Linked DNA regions of Rattus norvegicus. The protein of the gene in region 1 interacts with the protein of each later gene in a biochemical or structural test. Links are inferred from orthologs where the notes say so. Each region holds a gene or a part of one and is shown on either strand. Other genes may lie near its edges.

Evidence for each region. The genes of interacting proteins can lie anywhere in the genome.
Region 2: of the proteins of Stat1 (region 1) and Prkcd, one has a biochemical effect on the other in vitro, tested with the Homo sapiens proteins (2 studies listed by BioGRID). The link is inferred for Rattus norvegicus from reciprocal best matches to the Homo sapiens genes STAT1 and PRKCD.

The regions. Positions count from the first base shown.
Region 1 is NC_086027.1:56,913,922-56,917,432, reverse strand, and holds part of Stat1 (signal transducer and activator of transcription 1-alpha/beta), read left to right. Parts: intron 1-38; coding exon 39-114; coding exon of another isoform or gene 115-118; exon of another isoform or gene 119-447; intron 448-1,027; coding exon 1,028-1,127; intron 1,128-3,511. UniProt on the Homo sapiens protein: Signal transducer and transcription activator that mediates cellular responses to interferons (IFNs), cytokine KITLG/SCF and other cytokines and other growth factors.
Region 2 is NC_086034.1:5,803,037-5,807,306, reverse strand, and holds the start of Prkcd (protein kinase C delta type), read left to right. Parts: upstream 1-1,467; 5' UTR 1,468-1,696; intron 1,697-1,981; exon of another isoform or gene 1,982-2,080; intron 2,081-4,270.

The DNA.
Region 1 (3,511 bases):
CCGCTAATGTGAAGTGTATATGGTGTGCTTGCTTGTAGCACCAGAACCGATGGAGCTCGATGACCCTAAGAGAACTGGATACATCAAGACTGAGTTGATTTCTGTGTCTGAAGTGTAAGTGAGCACAGAAGACTGGCTTGTTGAGAACCTCAAGCCAGCCCCATCCCTGGCCGGGGCTCATTGATTGCACTGTCTCGAGGCTTGCTTTCCCAATGTAACTGATGTTGCCACCACAGTTGGACGTTCTGGAAAGATCCTAACTAGTCCTGGTATCAGTGCTTACTGGCGTTTTACTGCCATAAGATTAAAAAACAAAATACCAGCAACAACAACCTGCCACCCCAAACCCACAATAAACAAAATAAAAATGAAACAAAGTTGTATGTAAGGACTCCCCAAACTGACACTTGAAAAGAAAAAAAGCATGAATAAAAACAACCAAAACTCGACGAGTGGGAAAGCAGTTCTTTTTCAAGCAAAGGCCAAAGTTGGAACTGGGGTCCGTTTTCTCCGCTTGCTTTGATTCTGTCGTTTCAGTCCATAGAAGGTAGGAAGTGCTGGAAAAGTCATTGTCAGTTATTTGCTTGCGGCACTGTCTGGGGGTGAATGGATGTAGCCTTCATGTAGAACCCTGTGGAGCAGCCTTATCTGCATAGACCTCAAGGTAGGGAAGAGGGATCCCCCAGACATCTCTTGGTACTTTTCTGTCCAGGGTGAGCCTCGAGAGTCCACCACCTCAGGACAACACTGCACATCTTCACACTGAGGCTCCCCCAGGCCGTAGTGGTATAGGCTTCAGTCTGGCAATTGCTCATGTTTAAATTCTAGTGTATCCCAAGGGGCCGGGCCGGGGACATAAACCTCCCATGATCTGTACTGTGTGAGATTCGTTCTATACAGTGTATGTTTTTCTGACATGAGAGTATGAAGTGATCACGCAGCCTCAGATAGACAAAGTGTCTCAGCTTGCACTAAGGCCTCTGTAACTCAGGTGTTGACATTGCCCTTTCCTCTCTCTCTATTCCAGCCACCCTTCTAGACTTCAGAGCACAGAAAACCTGCTTCCCATGTCTCCAGAGGAGTTTGACGAGATGTCCAAGATAGTGGGCTCTGAATTTGACAGTATGGTGAGTTCTGTGGCAGGGGTATTTCCACCTTGGGAAGACCTGAGGCAGGCTGGTACTGCATCAGATCTGGAGTCTGCTGTAAGGAGCCCAGAGAAGGGTCTCTCCCTCTCCCTCTTCCTCTCCCCTCCTCCCTCTCCCTACCTCCGTCCTTCCCCGCCCCTCTCTCTCATGAGCCTGTGTTTCAGCTAGCTGCCTCATCAGCAGGATTTCTTTGTAGCATTTCACATTTCTGTCCCCTGTGACGTAAAAAGGTCTGGCCGTGTATTAAGTTCACACACTAAGGGATCAAGATTGTTTTCAGAGGCAGACGTTTTCCCGTGCCTGCTGTTTCTATCTGAGCCTCAGTAAAGGACTTACTGTAGGAAAGGATGGATGCCCGCCAGTTACATCGACTGCACACTGCCTAGCAGTGGTAGACAGTTCTGCCTGCGTTATATCCGAGACCTAACTCATTCTGCCGGCTTCTGAGGCTATCAAGGACTTGGGCAGAATGAATGGCTCGGAGGGTGACTTACTGGGTATCAATGTCTAAATAGAAACACGTGCTTGCAAAAGAGAACGTCTTCTTTCGGGAGAATGTTTTTCAGTGGATTAAATAGTACCGTTTGTCCTTCAGCCTGAAGGCCTTCATCACGCAGGTTTTGTTTGGGTGACTGGAGTTTTGCTGATGCTGATTTCAAGCTCTGGAGTCAGTCCAGTTCATTTTTCAAAGCTTGCCTGATGCGTTCAAAAACAATTCCCTCAAAGCTACTGCAGGCTTTCCTTCATCAATGCGCGCTTTGTGCATTTATCTGTTTGTGTTCAGTAATGAGAGGGAGGGTCAGAATAGGGGATGGGAGAGAGAGGGTGCAGAATGCATGGCTAAAGCTTCGTGCACCCGCATTCATGTGCTAGGCGTGCTAGAATGTCATCTCAGTGATGCGTGTTTCTCCTGCGTGACTTTGACTTTGGTCTTCACCTCACTGAGCACACTACGAGTCCTAGAGAACACCTTACAGCCTTCTGACCCTTGAGCATTCCTAGTATGATTCCAAAATAGCTGTTTTCTTCATGAAATGAGACTTTGGTCCAGGTAACCTAGCACCGGTTAGTTCTGTGAAACATGCTTTCTAAGTCTCATATGAAAATGGAGTAATGGTGAAGCTTGATTCAGAAAATGTAAAACAGATCAACGGGGCCACCACACAGGGCAAGCTTTCACACCTCCTTTGCTAAGAAAATCACCTTACCGTCGCCACCCCTGCCACCAATGGGTCATGCGTGTCAAGCTTCTCCCATGCACCCGGCAGGAGCCGTTTGCGTCTGTTTGTGAAGGCAGTGCCGGGTGAGAAGCCTTTGATTGGAACTTGGCATGTGCTGTTCCAACTGTCATCACCATTGTAGTCTGTGACATAGAGAACTAAGCTGTTCGTTCCTCAGTCTGTGCAAAGAACACTGCTTTCAGTACGCCGGAAGGCAATACTGTGGGGCCTCTTCCACCTTCACACAAATTCCAGGAATGGGTTTGTAGTCTTTGGACGCCCCATGTAGCTATTGTATTCCAATGGTTTTTTTTTTTTTTTGTCTAACATATGGAATAGATACATAGAGATATAAAGATACATTAAATTTGTGTGTAATAAGTGTGCACTCATCACAGTCGTCTCCAGGCAGACCCCAACAATCCCAGGGACTCTAGCAGAGGCCCTGCTCTGCTTAAACAAGGGAAGAATGAGACTGGCCTGTCAAATCCCTGTAACTACCACCACGTGCTCTGCCCCCAACCTTATTCTTGACTTCTGTCCAGCATTTGCTTTTAGAATTAGAACACATGAGCTAAGTGAAATCCAAGCAGTCGGGAGGCTGAGACAGGAAGGTCTCATGGTGGAGGCCACGAGACTACATAGAGACTCTGTCACAAAACAAAACAAAAAAAAATGGAATTAGTTGTGTGCTCTGAGGTGGAGGTGGTCCATGATTAAAAAGGTACTTGGGGTTGATGGTTGGTCCAGCCTTGGCTCTCGAGGAATTGTCCAGTACACTGGTGCTCTCTGTAATATGACCTGGATATTTATTAGTCTAACATTTCCAAACAACAAGTCTTGTCCCTCTGGACTGGAATAGACCTAGCCTACTTGCCTAGAGGCCTTTGTCCAGAGCTCATGCTAACAGATTGTCTACGACATTTTATACATGCTTTCAGTCTTATACTTTGACCAGACCTATGTGTTAGGCACTATTAGCCAACTTAGCACATGAAGGACTTGAGGTTTACAGAGGTTAATAAGCCAGTCGCAGAGTAACAGGATGTGGGTGTTTCTTCATCTCTCTCTCCCCGTCTCCCTTGCTTCTACAGTATACCATTTTAACTGCCCATTTGTGCCATCGGCCAGACTGCAACTGGG
Region 2 (4,270 bases), on another chromosome or scaffold:
GACACAGCTGAGGCAGGTAGAGGACTGTCACTAGGGAATGACCCAGGAAACAGAATGCTCACAAGCCTGCTTCGAGGAGAAAGGAGATTGTCTTTCCAGAAGGAATCTAATTTGGTCAAAGTCGCTGTCACGGGGTGGGGACAGTTATCAGGACTGGGGACCTAAATACTAACTTTCAAACGGGGGCCCTCTTTCAGGGGACAGGGAACCAGCGGCCTTCCTCTTTCTACAGAAGGACGAGTCATTGTGGTTTCCTCTCCCTAGCTCAATCCCCAGTGTACATTCAAAATAAGGTTTGGAGACCTTCATTTACGCCAGGTTCCCCCATCCCTGGAAGTCTCAAACCTCCACAGGTGGAATGGGGCGGGGCGCTTCTCTTGATCTCAGACTGCAAAGAGCTGTCTAGACTTGTATTCCTTCTAGATAGTTTCCCAGAAGGACCTTAGGGATCTCGGGATACCAGAACCCTCTTATCCTCCCAGCAGGAAGAGTTATCTTTTTTATTTTATTTTTTGTTTTGTTTTTGTTTAGAGCCTCCCATGGCCAGGCTGCCATCCACTTGCTATGTAACTGAGGCTGAACTCGATGAGCTCCCCTTTCTCCTGCTTTCCTCCCGCCCCCAGCACTGAAGTATCATTCTGAGCCTCTATCCGTGGTTTACTCTGTGGTGAGGGTCAAACACAGAGCTATCTGCGTGCTAGACAAACTATCATCTGCCTAGTTCAGGAAGTCATTTCTTTGGGTAACTATAATGCAACAGCTTAGCGTTCTGGGCTTTGGGGACAGAAGAATGGACGCCCTGGCTCCCATTTGGTGCTCAGACTTTGGGCCCAGGGGACCCTTAATGAGTGAATGAGTTACAGCTGACAATCAAATTCCTTTTATGCGCCTGACTGATCGAGCGGAGCTCTAATGGTGGGCACAGGAAAAGGGTGTGAAGATGGGGGCAGTGCTGAGACAGACTGGCTAGAGCCTCTCGCCCTGGAGACCTCCCAGCTCCTTCTCTCCGGCAGGGCTGGAACCGGCAGGCCTGGCGGCGGGCACTGAGCCCGTCCATGGCTCTGCACAAGCCAGCAGGAAGAGGAATGAGGCCAGGCGAGGCAGGCCAGCTGGCCAGTGGGGAGTCCCGGGCGTGGGCGCAAGTAGTTGGGGAAGCCCCGCCGCTGCCTCCTGGGCTCCATTGTGTGTGCTGTGCCCCCCGACTTGGCCTCGGAGTCCTCCTCTATAAAACAGTCCCCTGAGGAGGGGTGACCTGCGTGCCACTGGCAGGCGAGGCACCACAAGAGCCAGAGACGGGTAACAGACCTGGGGACCAAAGAACCTGCAACTGAAAGAGGTTGAGACGTGCCGGACCCCCAGCTTTCGTGGGCGGAGCTTCGAAGGGGCGGGCGCCCGTGGGGCGGATCCTGAGTGGGGGCGGGACCGGGGCCGGCACCTGGGTGAGGTCGCGCAGTCCCGCCCCCTCGCACTTCCGTGTGCCGCGGCGCCAGAACAGGAGGCGGCGGCCGCGGGGATCCCGCGAGCGGCCCCTGAACATCTACCCTTCTTGCCGGGACCCGGGAGGTCCCCACTGGCCTCCGGGCCCGTCCTGATCAGACTCGTGTCGACCTCCCCGTCCACGCGCATCCGGGAGAGCCGCGCCACGAGACGGACCCGGGCCCGCCGGGACCCCTGGTGTCTGGCCCTGCGTCGAGAGGTGAGTGAGAGCTGGGCCCAGGCGCGGGGTCCGAGTTAACTCGAGGGCGCAGAGGCCTTCCCCCCCCCCCCCCCCCCGCTTTCTCTCGCCCGTAGCCTCCTTTCCCCCCTTCCTTCTCCGACTCCGGGTTCTGAAACTGAGAAACTGAGCCACGAGCAGCCAAAGTCCCGCCGAGCACAGAGACCCGCGGTTGCCTCGGTACTCTGGTCCGTCTGACCCTCTCTTCGACGGCTGGAGCCCAGGCCCGACTACTCCCAGCATCTTTACCCCGCTGTGTGTCCTCAGCCCCGCCGAGGGTCGTCCGATCTTCTCGAATCTCCCTGGGGCCTCTGCACGTTCGTCGGCCCCCACCCCCTCTTGCCTGATCCTCTGCTCCCAGGCCAGGTCCGTTTGCTCCTCGTCGTCCGTGTACTCCATCTCCCCACCCCCACCAGACCCGCCGCCCCCTCAACCCAGTCCTCCGGGAGCCGCACCCCCAGCCGACGCTCGCCCGCCCCTGCCAGTCCAGTCTCGGTTCCTTTTCACCACCGGGCGGAGGCCCGGCCGCCGGTCTCCTTAGCCTCCAGTGCTTGGGTCCCAGGCGGGCGGACTCTGGCGGCGCCGCCTCCTCGTCCTATCTCTTCTTTCTGTCTCGGTGTCTTTCTTGGCTTTCCTTGCATCTGTCTCTGTGCTGGGCGTGGCTCCAGCCTCCACCATTCCCCCGTCCTCTCGGATCCTCTGAGCCCCTTCCCCGGGTAGCCTCTGCCTGGTGCTGTCAGTCTCTGACCCGCAGGAGAGACGCCACCCGCTCTGGGGGCCCAGTAAGGTGACAAGGACAGCAGTGACGGGAGTGCCCTGCTGGCTGGCAGTGGAGAAGGAGGCCCCTCACAACTGCTCCCACTTCCCCAACTCCCTCAGTACAGGGGAGGGGAGAGGAGCGATCCTCATTAAGTACTCCACTCAAACCTGTAGGATTTAGAATGAGTGGGGGAGATTCCTTTTTCCTTTGGCCCCTACCCTGAGCCCTTGGAGAAGTTTGGCTTCTGTTGTCGTAGTATCGGTGTAGGACCTGTGGGTATGGTGTGTATCTTGTCTCCTTGTGTAATGTTTGTCATAGTGGGACTTCCCCAGTGAATGTGTCCTTTTTCATGTGTGACTTGCTTGTACTTATATGGCTGTCTGTGTGTTCTGAGGCTCGATGTGTGCCACATCCAACTTCATATACATCATGTCTTGTCACTGGCTTCCCCTCTACATTTTTGTGCTTTGACCTGCTTATGTATCCGCATCCCTGTGTGTCCCAAAAGTCTGTGCACTCTATCACAATGACCATGAGTCCTTTAACTGTGGGAGCCCACACTATTGGTGTGCCAACCCCCTAGGCTTGTGAGTGTGTAAGTGGTTCATCTTCTTCCGCTGCTGATCTTCTGTGACCAAGCTGATCAGGTACAGAGGGGAGGGGACTGGGTTTCCTCATTCCTGGTATGGATTAGACTGGGGTGTGGTGAACAGGCCAGCAAAGGGCAGCTGGTGTGTGTGTGTGTGTGTGTGTGTGTGTGTGTGTGTGTGTGTGTGCGTGTGTGTGTGTGACAGTATCTTTGTATGCTATTGTAAAGGCTCAGGTATATGACAGGGCTGTGTGGAAGGTGACACTGCAGTGTAGAACTCTGGTGGGAGAGGGTGACTGGTAGGAGACTCACAGTCTGACTGTATGAAACTGCGGGTGTGTATTGAGAAGTGATGGAGTGATGGTGGTTGTGGGTAACAGAGAGGCTCAGTGTAGGTAATAGCAACAGGAGGGGTGTGATAAGAGGTGAGGAGGGAAGGTGATACCTGGCTCTGCATGTTTTTATGAGTGTGCAGGAGGCACTGGGTGTGTGCTTGGCATGCACAAACCCGGCCCTGACTCCTGAGGAGATGGGGAACGCTAGGGACAAGACCTGGGGTTATAATGGTCTGATTGAGAACTCAGGTTCTAGACCAAAAAAAGCAGTGGAGTCACTTACCATGCCCTTTAGGAGCCAGAGTCCCATGCCCAGCCTGTGTGGCTGAGAAAGTGAAGACTCCGAGGACAGTGGCTCCTCAGCAGTGTTGGCCACACTGAGAGGGCTGTGCATGCGGGGCTCGTTCCTGGCTGTGTGTCCCATCCTGGAATCTGGGATGAGTGAAAACCTAGGGAGTTCCCAATAGGTTGCCTCTCCTGTCTCCCTGACTAGGCTGCTTGCAAGAAGGAGGGCTTCTTCGTAGAGTGTCAGGACCCAGCCCTGCTCAGCCCCACCCAGCCGGCCCCCCAGTCTCTGTAGCTGTGATGGGAGGTGTGGGGGTGACTCAGAACTGTGACTCCTGCTGGGCTCTGACACCGTTTACCTGGCACAGCTAATTGGAGTTTAAATTTAAGCTAGAAATAATTTGAAGGACGATGGAAAGATAAAGCCCGAGGCTGCTGCTGTGTCCAGGAAGTAGCAAGGGGTCTCTAGCTGGGCGATTGGGGCCTTTTGAGGAGACCCAGCCTGTGGAAATGCCAGGATACCTAGGCCAGTGCACTATGCTGCTTTTGCCATTCCTTCTGTTCAGGATATCTCTAGGCCTCTGTGT